Linked DNA regions of Saccharomyces cerevisiae S288C. The protein of the gene in region 3 interacts with the protein of the main gene of each other region in a pairwise test. Each region holds a gene or a part of one and is shown on either strand. Other genes may lie near its edges. The genes, in order: REA1, YPL216W and IMH1.

Region 1 (4,949 bases), 390 kb from region 3:
ATGCCGCATGCAATACTTTTTTAGATTAAACTTAAAATTAACTTGTTCTGGTAATTACTGACGGATAACAGGTACTTCTTTAAATAGGATTATGGTGCTTCAGCTATCATCAAGTTTGGTACATCCTGAACCCAATTTCACGATATTTTAATATTCAGATATTGAAAAGGTGCATTATTATTGTTCGCTTAAATACAGAAAATAGGAAAGCAATACGAAATCATTACTTTTATCATGTTGTTTCTTAACGTAATTACTTAATAAAACTCATGTGAACCGTATGAAATGTAATAACTATATATGTCTGCTCAACTTTGAATATGATCACATTATTTTTCCCACTTGTTTTGACTTGGAGAAATACCTATTTTGACTTTAACAACGTCCATCGTTGCTATTGCATCTTGAGAACTATCATGCTCGCCATTTTGGATTTTTCTACTCAAAACTTCAAACGCTAAGTTCTTCAAAGAAACCTTAAACTTTGTTCTTGAATAAAGTATTGCAGTATCTATAACCTTATTATGAAATAGCCTCATGACGTTCAGATCGTTCTCTAGTCCGTGCCCTATAAGAATACTATTTTTATTTATTAAGTTTTCGGATAAAAAAACATCAAGTGCCTCCTTGTACGTCGGGCAATTGGTTCGGTCAATCTCATGGACACCACTGAAGTCTGAATTCAGATCGACAATATCCCCTATTGGCTGAATTACATGATCAAATAGTGTCTTGCCGGTGAAAAAATCCACAATTGTTAAACGTATCATCTCATAGCCCAATGATGTAAAAGCCATTTCACAGTCAAGAGAAAGAACATTCTCAACACCATCAATGTCATCTGTACTAGAAAACTTCGAAATTTTGCATAACTCGTCATATGATTCTCCTCTAAACACATGGTGAAAAAACGTCTTGCATCCTAGCCTTAGAAAAGAAACGGAATCAGTAGTTTCACCACAGCATGGATACTGATGGTTCTTGGTATCTCTGTTGTATATTCTTTTCAAAGGGTGATACCTACATAGAGTCTTTTCCATGATGTCTGTTTTTTTGAAATTTGAGCTGCAACGCAAACAAGGTGCATACAGTTGCGTACTATTGTCATCATTAGTTTTATTTTGCATTTCCTTAACAATATACCCATTTTTCTCTAAGACCTTCGAATCCAAAATCAGAGCCTTTAAAGCTTCCATCGCTTTTGATTTTGTAGTGATAGAGTTTGCATTACCAATTGAGGATAAATGAGGCTTAGCTCCTTTAAGGGGGCGCCCATTAATTTTGATCTTCGAGAGATCTCCTTTATATTTAAGCACATCCCGCAGTAAAATGCTCATGTTAAACTTGTAACTCTGACCAGACAAGCTGTTTTTAGCAACATGGACTTCTAAGCGAGTGGCAAGTCTTTCAAGGTCAATATTAGTTCCTTTTGTGTGTGCATATGCCTTTTGTAGCTGCTTGAATAATTTCTGCAAAATTTTATATCTTTCTTGGAATCCAAGCGGTTGATTTACCAGATCAACCGGTCTCAACAAACTTCCCATACTAAAGCTTTCTCTTGATATATAGTCAAACTGAATGTATACTGAAACACATATTCAAGGCATTGATTTTAAATGCACTTGAACCGTTATTCCATTTCTTTTTCTACTCATCATTTATTGTCGCCCTTTACGAGGTATTTTTTCTTTTTCGAGTGAAAAATTTTAAAGAAGCGATGAGCTAAGGTCTATTTAGCTTTATGAAAAGAAAACATTATATCACTTACTGCTTTACTTTAGACATTCCTCTCCAAAGTGATTATTTTAAAGATTCAAAGTACCTCTGAGTTAATTTGACATCGAATTCTACTCTTATTATTTTAAGGTACCTCTACTTTACGCGGTCACATTATTTTTAAAACCGTTATAATCTGCTGAGAATGTCCCAGGATAGAATTTTGTTAGATTTAGACGTAGTTAACCAAAGGTTAATTCTCTTCAATTCTGCTTTTCCCTCTGATGCTATTGAAGCGCCCTTCCACTTTAGCAACAAGGAATCAACTTCTGAGAATTTAGACAATTTAGCAGGAACTATACTACATAGCCGTTCCATCACTGGTCATGTTTTCCTTTACAAACATATTTTTTTAGAGATAGTGGCACGTTGGATAAAGGACTCCAAAAAAAAAGATTACGTTCTTGTAATTGAAAAGTTGGCAAGTATAATTACAATATTTCCCGTTGCAATGCCATTAATTGAAGACTATTTAGATAAAGAGAATGATCATTTCATCACTATTCTTCAAAATCCATCCACACAAAAGGATTCCGACATGTTTAAAATACTATTAGCATACTATAGGTTACTATATCACAATAAAGAAGTATTTGCACGCTTCATTCAACCCGACATTTTATACCAACTTGTGGATTTACTCACCAAAGAACAAGAAAATCAGGTTGTTATATTTCTAGCATTAAAGGTTTTATCTTTATACTTAGACATGGGAGAAAAAACATTAAACGATATGCTCGACACTTATATAAAATCACGCGATTCATTGTTGGGCCATTTTGAGGGCGATTCTGGAATTGATTACAGCTTCCTCGAACTGAACGAAGCTAAGAGATGTGCAAATTTCTCTAAACTACCCAGTGTTCCAGAATGTTTCACTATAGAAAAAAAATCTAGCTACTTCATTATTGAGCCTCAGGATTTGAGTACTAAGGTCGCGTCAATCTGTGGCGTTATCGTCCCTAAGGTCCACACTATCCACGACAAAGTATTCTACCCATTAACCTTTGTCCCTACTCATAAAACGGTTTCCTCTCTTCGTCAACTCGGGAGAAAGATTCAAAATTCAACTCCAATAATGCTCATTGGAAAAGCGGGATCCGGTAAAACCTTTTTAATCAATGAGCTAAGTAAATATATGGGTTGCCATGACTCCATTGTGAAAATTCATTTAGGTGAACAAACTGATGCCAAGTTACTGATTGGTACTTATACCTCTGGTGACAAGCCAGGCACGTTTGAATGGAGAGCTGGTGTTCTCGCTACCGCGGTCAAAGAAGGGAGATGGGTACTTATAGAAGACATAGATAAAGCTCCTACAGATGTTTTATCAATACTTTTATCGCTTTTAGAAAAGCGCGAACTAACCATTCCATCCAGAGGAGAGACTGTAAAGGCTGCAAATGGTTTCCAGTTAATATCAACTGTTAGAATAAACGAAGATCATCAGAAGGATAGTTCCAATAAGATCTATAACTTGAATATGATTGGTATGAGAATCTGGAATGTTATTGAATTAGAGGAACCTAGCGAAGAGGATTTGACACACATTTTAGCCCAAAAGTTTCCCATTTTGACCAACCTTATCCCCAAACTAATCGATTCATACAAAAACGTCAAAAGTATTTATATGAACACCAAGTTCATTTCATTGAACAAGGGGGCACACACAAGAGTTGTATCTGTAAGAGATTTAATTAAGCTGTGCGAAAGGTTAGACATCCTATTCAAAAACAATGGCATCAACAAACCTGACCAACTAATCCAGTCTTCTGTCTACGACAGTATTTTCTCCGAAGCCGCCGACTGTTTCGCTGGCGCTATTGGAGAATTCAAAGCTTTGGAACCTATTATACAAGCAATCGGCGAGTCATTAGACATTGCTTCCTCAAGGATTTCGTTATTTTTGACCCAACATGTGCCCACTTTGGAAAACCTTGATGATAGCATTAAAATTGGAAGAGCCGTATTACTTAAGGAAAAGCTAAATATACAAAAAAAATCAATGAACAGCACATTGTTCGCATTTACGAATCATTCTTTAAGACTAATGGAACAGATTTCTGTTTGTATACAGATGACTGAACCTGTTTTACTAGTCGGTGAAACGGGTACCGGGAAAACTACAGTCGTTCAACAACTTGCTAAGATGTTAGCAAAAAAATTAACGGTAATCAATGTTTCACAACAAACAGAAACTGGTGATCTTCTTGGTGGGTACAAACCCGTAAATTCTAAAACAGTTGCAGTTCCTATACAAGAAAATTTTGAAACTCTTTTTAATGCTACATTTTCCTTAAAGAAGAACGAGAAGTTTCACAAGATGCTACATAGGTGCTTCAACAAGAATCAATGGAAGAACGTTGTTAAACTTTGGAACGAAGCGTACAAAATGGCTCAAAGCATATTAAAAATTACAAACACTGAAAATGAAAACGAAAATGCAAAGAAGAAGAAAAGAAGACTCAATACTCATGAAAAAAAATTGTTACTTGACAAATGGGCTGACTTCAATGACTCAGTGAAGAAGTTTGAGGCCCAGTCTAGCTCTATTGAAAACTCGTTTGTCTTCAATTTTGTCGAGGGTTCTTTGGTAAAGACTATCAGGGCTGGGGAGTGGCTATTGCTCGATGAAGTGAATTTAGCAACCGCAGATACCTTAGAAAGTATTTCTGACCTTCTCACCGAGCCTGATTCTCGTAGTATTCTTCTTTCAGAAAAGGGTGACGCTGAGCCTATAAAAGCTCACCCCGATTTTAGAATATTTGCTTGTATGAACCCCGCTACTGATGTTGGTAAAAGAGACTTACCTATGGGTATCAGATCAAGATTTACCGAAATATATGTACATTCTCCGGAACGTGATATTACTGATTTGCTTTCCATAATTGATAAATATATTGGAAAGTACAGCGTCAGCGATGAATGGGTAGGAAATGACATCGCTGAACTTTACCTTGAAGCCAAAAAACTCTCCGATAACAATACTATAGTTGATGGCTCAAACCAAAAACCACACTTTAGTATCCGTACCCTGACGCGTACATTGCTTTATGTTACTGATATTATTCATATCTACGGTCTACGCCGTTCCCTGTATGATGGATTCTGTATGAGTTTTTTGACTTTACTGGACCAAAAATCTGAGGCCATTCTGAAGCCAGTAATAGAAA
Region 2 (5,621 bases), on a different chromosome or scaffold from region 3:
CCTGCAACGGGCCCTGCCCTCACTCTATCCATATCTAAATGAAATGCTCGAATTACTAGTTCACCCAAGGCTTCTTTCCATTTGGGAAGTTCGTACTTTGACGATTCATATTTACTATGAGCTAGAGGAATTTTATTCTGAGCAGTTTTCACTGGTGCTTTATTGCTTACATCTAGTGGTTTCGAATTCAGATGTGAGCTTTTTGCTAAAAGCTCTGGCGAATCTTGTGCAGTTTCTTTATTTTGCTTGAAAACACATGTTTGATGCAAATAAGCTCTCGAGTAGTAAAAAGGGGACTTTCTAAGGAAAACAGGGAGTCGACCTGAAGTAAATCTATTGACTGACATCATCAAGTGTTGGAATAGCTGAAGAGATTGTTACGGAGATCATAGTGTTTGCTAAATATTAATCTTACTAATGCGTCAGTCGAGGACCAATTTTGACGTTGTTTTCCTTGCTGGCTATAAATTCAGAAGAACGCCGGGTAAAGCCTAAATACAACTCCAGTCAGACGCCCTGAAATGGGCCAATTTATATACGAGGAATAATGAATGGTGAAGATTAAATAGTAAAAGATATTTCTAATATCTTTCTAAGGCGTATACAGGAAGAGTGATTTGAACTGCAGAGTTGTTTCTAGTTGCGTTCTTCATCCTCTCGTCGTCTTGAAATAAGTTGACATTCAATCTCCTCTAATATACCCTGCACATCAAGATGTGCAGCTTTATCTACTCGTTGAGAACTTATCCCATAGCCTGAAACATGACTAATATGCTTATACCTCTGATGATTTAAAAGCTTCGTAAGAATATCCTCTTGCCTTTTTCTTTTCGTTTCAACTATAAATTCGAGGTCTATCGTCCTCAATTGTTCGAAATGAAAATTCAAAGGATAAATCAAATTTTGTTGCTTTTTGAGAAGTGCTCTTTCACATTCTCCAAGGTGAGCTACGTCTTTTAAAATCGCTTCCAAAACGAGATCATTCTTTGTCCTTGATAGTTTTTTGGAAATTTTCTCCATGTTGGAAAAATGTTGGCCGTTGGATGTACAAGTTGTCTCAATTCTTTTCAGTTCAGGAAACGTGAACTCGTTATTTTTCAAAAGTTTGTGATTTTTTTTGAAGGTTTCATCACATTCAATACGCCTTTTAATTTTGAACTGTTGCTTGTATGATACTTCAATACGGTCCATTTTGGATGTCAAAGCTTTCTTCAATTGTCCCTCATTTTCTCTTAAATCATCCAACCTATCTACTAACATATGTATATCTTCTATATCGTTGAAGAAAGCCCATTGATGATGAGAGAGTAGGAGCTTTTCTGGAGTTTCTGATATAATTTTTTTGTCTATGAATGCCGGAATAGTTGGCCTCATTAAGATACCGTTTGAATTAATTATCATGAAATTCTCACCTTGAGCAATTTGATAGTAAGACCCGTCTGTCGACCTAAATATTGAAAAGACTTCTTTTGTCGCGTAGGCAGTACCTTTTGCTTTAGCTAACAACTCCCATTTTTTCAAAGATTCGACGTCGACATCTAAGCAAAAGTTTATATCCGCTTCAGAGGGTCCTTGAACCCACAAAAAACAGCAGTTGTAAAGTTCCTCATTTTTTTCACTGATGGCTGATGACGATCCATTTGAGTCCATCCAATAATATCGATTTCCATTTCTATCTTTACCCAAAATCTCTAGTCTCTTGATATCGCTCTGAATCAATTTTGCCTCTAGGAAGGCGATATCTTCCATTAAGTATGCAATTTTCACTTTAAGGGCATTGACCTTACCTTTACATTCATCTGATCCATATCGGTTCATTGAAACGTTGCTGTGAAGCTTCACGCGATTTTTGGTTAACGTTTTTAGTTGCCGTTTCAATTTGATATACTCTTTTTTTGCACTATCCAACTTTAAGCGGATTCCATTGCACAGTTTTGGTACTTTATCTACCAACTCCTTAATATAACTCGAGAAATTGGACGCAAAATCTACGAGAACCCATAAAACATCAATTTTATCTTTTATAGATAATCTCTTGCGAAAGTTATCCCAGAGCTCATCACCTAAATTTACAAAATTCATGGATAAAGGTAGTATTTTTTTTGTGATACATTTTGCGACATCACTATATGCTATCATATGTGTATTCTGTTGCAAGATTCCAAGGAGACAGATCAACCAATTGCCGTTGCTAAAGTTTTTATTGTGCAAAAGTTTAACCCAGCTAGTATCTCCATAGTTCAAACACTTTTCTATAGCTATATCAATTTCTGTTTTATTTCCTTCCTCCTTTCGCTTTTCTTCAGTCCAATTGTCCATCAGATTACAATTCCAATCAGGTTCATTATCCGTCATCAGACACATTAACGAGCAAACTATATCAATGTAAAGTATATTCACTTTTTCGTACGATTGAAACTCCATATCGTCATTTTTTAGAGGCTTCCCTTTAAAAATGGAATACATTACAAATTCAGTACTTTTATCCGTTATAAATTTCCTCATTTTCTGGTTTCTGGTGAAATTGCTAGGTATTCGTTGACTCTCATCTGCATTAAAGACGTTAGCCTTCTCACGCTGGGATACGTTACTACTGGTCACTTGATTATATATTTCGTTTCTTGGCTTCTCATTTGTGAAACTCCCTTTGCTGTTGTAAGTTTTAAGAAAGTTTATTTTGACATATTCATCTACTAAAGCCTCCGGACTAGTACACTTGATAGTAGTAAGGAACTGATCAAAATTAAAATGTGATAGACCAATAAAACGTCCAAAAAAGCTCAGGAATTGATAAACAACCAATAGTCGTTCCGTTGGAAATTGACTGCACTCTTTGAACCATTTTTGATCGATATTCTTATATTCTAAGGAGCTATCTAAGTAGCTGATATTTTCAAATGGTATCGAAGGCCCAGTGAATGGAAGCTCCTTGTCGTCGACGGTTCCCTTCAAATCATTGTAGGCAAGGGAGTTCACATTATCGTAAATGTGGTCAAATGAGACTGAAATCTCGTCGTCAATTGCTTTTATTTTAGATAGTGACGTTTCCGACGTTTCCGACGTTTCCGACGTTTCCTTCCAGTCAGCAGGTTCAACATCGCTCTCTGGTGGTATAGTAAGAGGAGTGTAAAGCTCGGAAGAAGATGAGTTCATTCTATCCGGCAAATAATCAATCATATTAGGAGAGCATTTAGGGTTTACATCATATCTTTCTATATATTCTTGTTTCACCCTCCATGGTGCGTGCTCCTTATTCGATACTTTTATGAGTATTTCATTAAGAAAACACGCAATTATGAATTTAGAAAAGTGTGATTCTGGCCTTTTAATTTCATTCTGGCCTACAATTAGGGCCGCACCTTTAGATTCTCGATTCAGGCATTCTGTGATTAAATACAGTGACAATTTTGGGGCAGAAATTTCTCCCTTTTCACTTTCCATCATCCCGTTAGATTGAAACACATCCTTGACAAGGAACAACGTGACATTGTTTTCAATAGTTGGTGATTCTACCAAGTTAGGCTCTCCTTCTTTATAGGTAATCAATGCATTTTTTTGGATAGTTTTCAAGCACACCGTATCGCCTATAAAGAAACGGTTACTAAAACGCTGAAATGCGCTTTCTACAAGGTGTCCTACCTTCCTTATCGGACTGAAGTTTGCGAAATTTGCTATAGCCTTCCTTAGTTCTTTTGGTAAAAGATATCTGACCTTTTCACGGTGCTGTTCTTCGCTTTTTAACGCCTTGAAATACGAAAGGCCATCTTTTCCACTAATCTCACAGGTGAATATATCCCTTTTGTAAAAATCTAGCTTTTTTAAATCACTGTCATAATCATTTATACGCTCGCTACTTTCTTTAATCACCCATGGAGTTTCAGAGAAGGAATCAGCAGACTGTCCTATTTCCTTAGGTTGTATTTTCCTTCTGTTAAGCAGAACCATTTTTGCTTTGAATTTAAAGTACGGCTAGAAGAAGAGCCAAACTAGGGATTGCGATTTTTACTGAATGAAAATGATTGTCTCTCTTACTAAGTCTGCTAACATTTATCAGGTTCATAATGTTTACTATTGAAGTGGCGCGTTACAAGAAAACAAGTCATCCCATATTGAAATGACAACAAATAGAAAAATACACATAATTCCATATCGCTAAATCACACTATCATATACAAAATGGACCAAAGTAAACAAATGTCGATTCATGCAAGTATTGTTACATATCTTGTCACTTTCTCTTCCAAAAGTTGAGGATAGCTGTAAAGGTGCATTTGCTAAACTCTCAGAAACTGCTGGTCCTAAACAATATCAAAACAAATATCAGATAGGTAAGCTTAGATTATTTTAAGGACATGTGAGCCATAGTGCAGATACTCGTACTACTGTTGTAAATATTTCTGTAATTTCAAAGTTGAGATTATCTAGATGAAGTTTTTTTTTTGTTATCGCCTAAGTTTAATGTCCGTACAAATGAAAAATTTTCAAGGCGATGAGCTGAAGTGAAGCTTCAAAATTAAGGAAAGTATTTGCGCTGTTAAGGTAAAAATATCACATAATAGTAGCCTTTAATCAGCCATCTGAGTTATCTGAAACGATGGAGCAGTCTAATAAACAGCACCGTAAGGCGAAGGAGAAGAATACAGCAAAAAAGAAGCTCCATACGCAGGGTCATAATGCAAAGGCCTTTGCCGTGGCAGCCCCAGGTAAGATGGCGAGAACTATGCAAAGGTCAAGTGATGTGAACGAAAGAAAACTGCATGTTCCTATGGTTGATCGTACCCCTGAAGATGATCCGCCTCCATTTATCGTCGCTGTCGTGGGTCCACCTGGAACAGGAAAGACTACTTTGATTCGGTCCCTCGTCAGGAGAATGACAAAAAGCACTTTGAATGATATTCAAGGTCCTATTACTGTTGTCTCTGGTAAACATAGAAGACTAACTTTTTTGGAGTGCCCTGCGGACGATCTGAATGCGATGATTGATATTGCTAAGATTGCCGACTTGGTTCTTTTACTAATTGACGGTAATTTCGGTTTTGAAATGGAAACAATGGAATTCTTAAATATTGCTCAACATCACGGTATGCCAAGAGTACTTGGTGTAGCTACACATCTTGATCTGTTTAAATCTCAGTCAACTTTGAGAGCTTCTAAGAAAAGATTAAAGCACAGATTCTGGACGGAAGTTTATCAAGGTGCAAAATTATTTTACCTATCTGGTGTGATTAATGGAAGGTATCCTGATAGAGAGATTTTAAACCTTTCACGATTTATATCTGTTATGAAATTCAGACCATTAAAATGGAGGAACGAACATCCCTATATGTTGGCTGACAGATTCACAGATTTAACTCATCCGGAATTAATAGAGACTCAAGGACTGCAAATCGACCGCAAAGTCGCTATCTATGGTTATTTGCACGGTACTCCTTTGCCTTCTGCTCCGGGCACTAGGGTGCATATTGCTGGTGTTGGTGATTTCTCAGTAGCACAAATTGAAAAATTACCAGATCCATGTCCCACACCTTTTTACCAACAGAAACTGGATGATTTTGAACGTGAAAAAATGAAAGAAGAGGCAAAGGCTAACGGAGAAATTACAACTGCCTCTACGACAAGAA
Region 3 (5,242 bases):
AAAATTATAGCTCAAATTGAATGGTCCATCTGGGCGATGAATGCTACTGGCAACCATACCCCCAAATGGTTCAGACCTCCATATGGCGGAATAGATAATAGAGTAAGAGCAATAACAAGGCAATTTGGCTTACAAGCCGTCTTATGGGATCACGATACTTTTGATTGGAGCCTCCTTCTCAATGATTCTGTCATAACTGAACAAGAAATTCTTCAAAATGTAATAAACTGGAACAAGTCAGGAACCGGATTAATATTAGAACACGATTCAACGGAAAAAACTGTCGATCTTGCCATTAAAATAAATAAGTTGATAGGTGATGATCAATCAACAGTTTCTCATTGTGTCGGCGGAATTGATTACATAAAAGAATTCTTGTCCTAATTTTCAGGGAATTGAAGAAAATAAGGAAGAATTAAATTACAATTTAAAAAGAAATTGCTTTAGTATTTTATATATAGACATGCAGCAACTTCTTGATATATTTCAGGAAGAAAAAAACTGTTTCAATATATACGTATCTTCTGCTTTCAGCTACATTTTTACTTCAGAGACATAACCAGTCTTTTTTCATCAGTACTGTCCAGTTGTAACAACATAGAAATTACAGGAAGTAATTGGTTCCGTTGTTCCTTGTGCTCCAAAAATCCCAACAAAACATTTTTTATATATGCAATTTTTTCATTTTTCTCAGAGTCTAACTCCAATGAACTTGATGATCGTATCTTCTCTAATTTAGTTGGATTAGAGTTATTCGCTGGTGAGGAATCAATATTCGCGTTAGCTAGAGTACCGATAGAACCAGACCTACTAACTCTTCCTGACTTGTCACTGTATTGTCTTTCCTTTAAAGCATTCAATTGAGAGGACAATGAACGATAATTTTTTAGTAATCGATCAAATTTCTTGTTAAGTTCGTTATTTAAATTCAGAAGTTTCTCATTGGCAGACTGTAGCTCAAAATTCTTTTCATCAGCCTTAGACAATGAGAGTTTTAAATTAGATGTGATCTGTTCCAACTGATCGGAATCATCTGAAGTGGCTTGAGTCTTCCTTTTGATGTCATTGTTAACATGTTTCAATGCGTCAACCTCTGATTTTAGTCCCTCTTCACGAAGCTTTAAAGCGTGTATTTCCGATTTCAGCTCAGTTACTGTATGCTTCCACTCTTGTAATTCAGTGGCCTTTCTGGATGTTTGTAAGTCTAATTCTGCTTCCAATTTATTCTTTTCATCCGTTAAATAGGCCAATTTATTCTCCAACTCTTTTTGTTTGCTCGAATCATCTGTCTGACTGTCCGAAACTAACCTTCTCAATGTGTTAGCTTCTCTGGTTTTGTCTTGAACAATATTAGCATATTCATTTAGTTCATCTTCTAAAGATAAAATTTTTTTTGTAGATTCCTTCAACTTGACATTTAGTTCCTCACATTGTCTTTTGATAGAATCTATGTGTTCATTCGAATTACTTTTTACATTTTGCAAGGTATTGTATTTTTCTTGCAAAATATTCAATCTTTCCGATAATTTACCATTTTCTTTCAAATACTCCTCGTAGGAATTAGAATTCTTTGCGATATCATTATGCAGTGTCTCATTTTCCTTTTTTAATAAGTCTAATCTGTTAGAAATTTTAGCATGATCTTTTCTCAGCTGTTCTGTGGATTTTTCAGCCACGTCCTTTTGCTCACTAAATTGTTTAACTTGTTCCTCCAAGTAACTCACAGTTTTTTCCTTTTGTTTATAAGAGGTTCTTAAAGAAGTAAGCTCCTTTGTTATGTTTGATTTTTCGTAGGTAAGTTGAGATATCTCCTCATTTAATTTGGCTACCTTGTTCTGCGATGTAGTCTGCTCTTTCTCCTTTTCTGTACATAAATTCTTCAGATGCTCTACTTTCTTGCTCAATAACTCTATCTTACTTCTCAACTCAGTATTTTTAGCTTCGTAGGCCTCGATCATCGTTGCATTTTTATGGCGTAAATCATCGAGCTCCAGCTTAACGGTTTTCACTTCTTCATTTTGTTTACTCGAAGACTCTTTAATCTCATCTTTTGCGTCCACAAGCTCATTGCCTACAGTCCTCAGCATATCTCTCACCTCCTCTAGCTCCGAATTTTTTTCTTTCAATGACTTCTTGGTATCGATCAACTCGGTGTTAAGGGTTTCCAGCTCCTTTGCTGATTTTTCGAGCTGTGAGTTTTCCAATTCTTTAGCATCTTTTAGTTCTGCTTCTATATCTTCATACTTTTGCTTCCAATCTTCACAATCTTTATATTTTTCTTGTAATTCTTGCAAATTTTCTTTAAGCTTATCATATTCTTCAGTATTGATTGAGTTATCGACCGTTTCCTCTTCACTGATATCACCCGTAGTTATGCCTCCCTTATTTTTCTTTCCCTTGTTTCTATTCTTTTTCCTTCTGTTATTGTTTCCTACATTTTGATGAGATATCGCCTTCGGTAACTCCTTCATTTTTTTTTCCAATTCACTCAGCTTGCGCTCTTTCTCTTTTAAAGTAATATTTAGTTCTGCCAACTCTGAGGACTTTTCCTCCATTATAGTACTTTTCGAAGACAAATTTTGCTCCAATTCGGTTATCTTCATTCGACTGTCCTCGAGAGAATGGTTCTTTATAGCCAATTCTTCCTTCAGTTCGGATATAGATACTTCTTCTTTCTGTTTTTTGGCCTCCCTTTCTTCCTTTAGTATATTTTCCAGTGCAACTATTTTTTCTCTCAAACCTGAAACAGTATCATTTTTTTCTTTTTGTACAGTATCCAATTCTATGTTTAAAGCTTCCATTTTTTTTTTTAGATCGTCTATGTCATTTTTATAATTTTGCTCTTTTTTCAAAAATTCCTCTTCTTTATCCTTCAGAGTTTCACTAGAGGCGCTTTCTGGAATTTCCGAGTTCTGCTTAGTTAATCTCTTGATCTCATCATTCAATAGGTTATTTTTGTTGTTTAAATCCTGGAAAAAAGCTGGCAACGTATCCACTGCGTCGTCAATATTAGATATGGGTGTATTTTCCGCTAAAATCTTTTCAACAGCCTCTAACTTCTCTGACTTTAATTTTTCATTTTTGTATGCGGAGAGTAGCAAAGGGTATTTTTGTTCATATTTCTCAAATTTTCTTAATTTAGCTTGTATTTCTTTTGGCAAGCCACTCTTATCATCTTCGATTTGTTGTTCTGACGGGGTAGGGCTCATATCATCGGCTAAGCCCTTCGCTAATTCATCGGTAAGATTCTTACCAATTTGTGACAGCTGTTTGAACATTGAATCAGCAAATGTTTCCCTAAGTTAAAATCACCTCAAATGTAACTCCTGTTGCTTACTATTTGACGTTTCTGCTACATTTGGTTCTCTTATATTGCTGGATCTGAAAATCCGAACTATGAGAATGCGGGTAATAGCTTTTCATAGAATCACTAATTGATATTTTTTCAGGTAATAAGTTTCCTCTAATCGGGCATTTAAAATCTTGGATCGATAACTTAACTGGGTGTAATAAAATATATAAAGATATAAAATAGATATATATATATAAAACGAACTTTATCAAGAAGAACTGCAAATGAAGCGTACTCTCAAATCCTCGAAAACGAAAAACACTCCACCAGTACAGTATTATCACGAAGAATATTAAGTAAAAGCAGCCATCTTAAATAATAGAGTGTAGCAATCAAACATAAAGCTAAGGTTCTTCTTGATTAGCAAATTGTATAAACTTTTATCGAAATAACCTAGAAGGAGGTTTTTTCTTACCTAGCTTCAAAAAATTGCCATTTTTATCATCTGTAAATTCACTTAGGAATTTTGCAGTTTTTGTACCGCTAGCAGAAGAAGCATGCGTACTGCCTTTGGTGTTTCCTGATCTCGGTTCCACTTGCAGTGATAATTGATACTGCTTTTCAATGTGGGGGACATTTTCCAAAGACGCTTCTATAACGGTCTGAATATCATCCAATCGTTTCAGCTTGTAATGGAATCTTTTAAAGCTTATAATTTCCTCCACTATATTTGCGATTTTAGTCCTCTTGCTGAAGTTTATTATGTTGGTTGAATTGTGAAGAAAATCTGGGTTTCCGACAAACGTAAATGTTAAATCAGATAGGTATACACCAAAAAAGGGAACACATGCAACGTCCGTCACGGATCGCAACAGCTCTCTATACTTCACAAAATTTCTCTTGGAATCCATAAGGTTGTTTAGGTTCTTCAGAAGGTCCTTCGACTCAGTGGAAACTAAATCCCATGTCTTTTTCAGTCGGTAGATTGGGGAGGAATACAAAGCGGACACTATGGCAGTCATTGAAGAAAAATTATTCAACTCTTTACAATGCTGGGCAACGGTAACAAAATATTGCGTTAATTTTGAACGTGTCTTGACATCTGCCTGTTTTACAATGGTATGAGAAACAAAATTAGTTAGCGTATTAGCATTAGCTATAAATTTCGTAATGTTCGGAGAACCACCCATATTACAATACTTGGTACCCCATGCCCTATCCAAGCATTCAAACATAGTGATCCTGAGGTATAAGTCATGTTCAAGTACAGTCAATTGTGTGGCATATGTGTATGGGTCAATATCCAAGAGCTTCAATTTCTTCAATCTAAAAAACGCTGAAGAAGCAGAAGATGGTAAAGAAGACGAAGACATGTGTATCGGTGATTTATTGTCACGTTTAGTTGTCTGTACGACTGCCGATACCGAATCTTGTTGCTTAGGATCCACTGGTTCTTTCTCATTCTCATTTATCAGTTTTTCATTTATCTTTTGCAAAAGATCCTCTGCCCCCGGTATTTTCTCCGATACAACCATCTTGGCAAAATTTAGAATCAGTGGTATGCCAGGTTCATAATAATTTCTTGTCCAATACTGCGTCAAAAATGTTCTCATAATGTTGACCACACGGCATTTAATCGGGTTTGACTTTTTTTCTATCCAAATATTGTAATCATCGTAACTCAGCCCTTCAGGAGGATACAAGTTGTACCTGTAAATCAGGGCATAAAAAAACTCTCTTGTGGTTAATATACTTCTGAAAGTTATTAACATTGTAACATTGAAAGCCGCATCAACAAGTTCATGACTGGTTAAATGTTCAATCAGTGCCTCTTTTGTCCCGCCACGAATTTTTCCTCTTGAGTCATAGACAAGACTAGTTTCATAATCTGAAGTTAAAAACCATGGAAGGTTTTTCTCTATGTTCGCAGCTTTGCGTTCAATATAGTCC

What was found.
Region 1: the proteins of IMH1 (region 3) and REA1 interact in a two-hybrid assay, tested with the Saccharomyces cerevisiae proteins (one large-scale study listed by BioGRID).
Region 2: the proteins of IMH1 (region 3) and YPL216W interact in a two-hybrid assay, tested with the Saccharomyces cerevisiae proteins (one large-scale study listed by BioGRID).

What each region holds. Positions count from the first base shown.
Region 1 is NC_001144.5:360,711-365,659, reverse strand, and holds the start of REA1 (AAA family ATPase midasin), read left to right. Parts: upstream 1-1,921; coding exon 1,922-4,949. Other genes in the region: REX3 (RNA exonuclease), read right to left, coding at 330-1,544. UniProt on the Saccharomyces cerevisiae protein: Nuclear chaperone required for maturation and nuclear export of pre-60S ribosome subunits.
Region 2 is NC_001148.4:142,145-147,765, reverse strand, and holds YPL216W (uncharacterized protein), read right to left. Parts: upstream 3,946-5,621; coding exon 637-3,945; downstream 1-636. Other genes in the region: CBP3 (Cbp3p), read right to left, coding at 1-350; GTPase BMS1, read left to right, coding at 4,595-5,621. UniProt on the Saccharomyces cerevisiae protein: May be required for the activity of an ISWI chromatin-remodeling complex.
Region 3 is NC_001144.5:748,492-753,733, forward strand, and holds IMH1 (Imh1p), read right to left. Parts: upstream 3,279-5,242; coding exon 543-3,278; downstream 1-542. Other genes in the region: chitin deacetylase CDA2, read left to right, coding at 1-384; Ras family guanine nucleotide exchange factor CDC25, read right to left, coding at 3,733-5,242. UniProt on the Saccharomyces cerevisiae protein: Involved in vesicular transport between an endosomal compartment and the Golgi apparatus.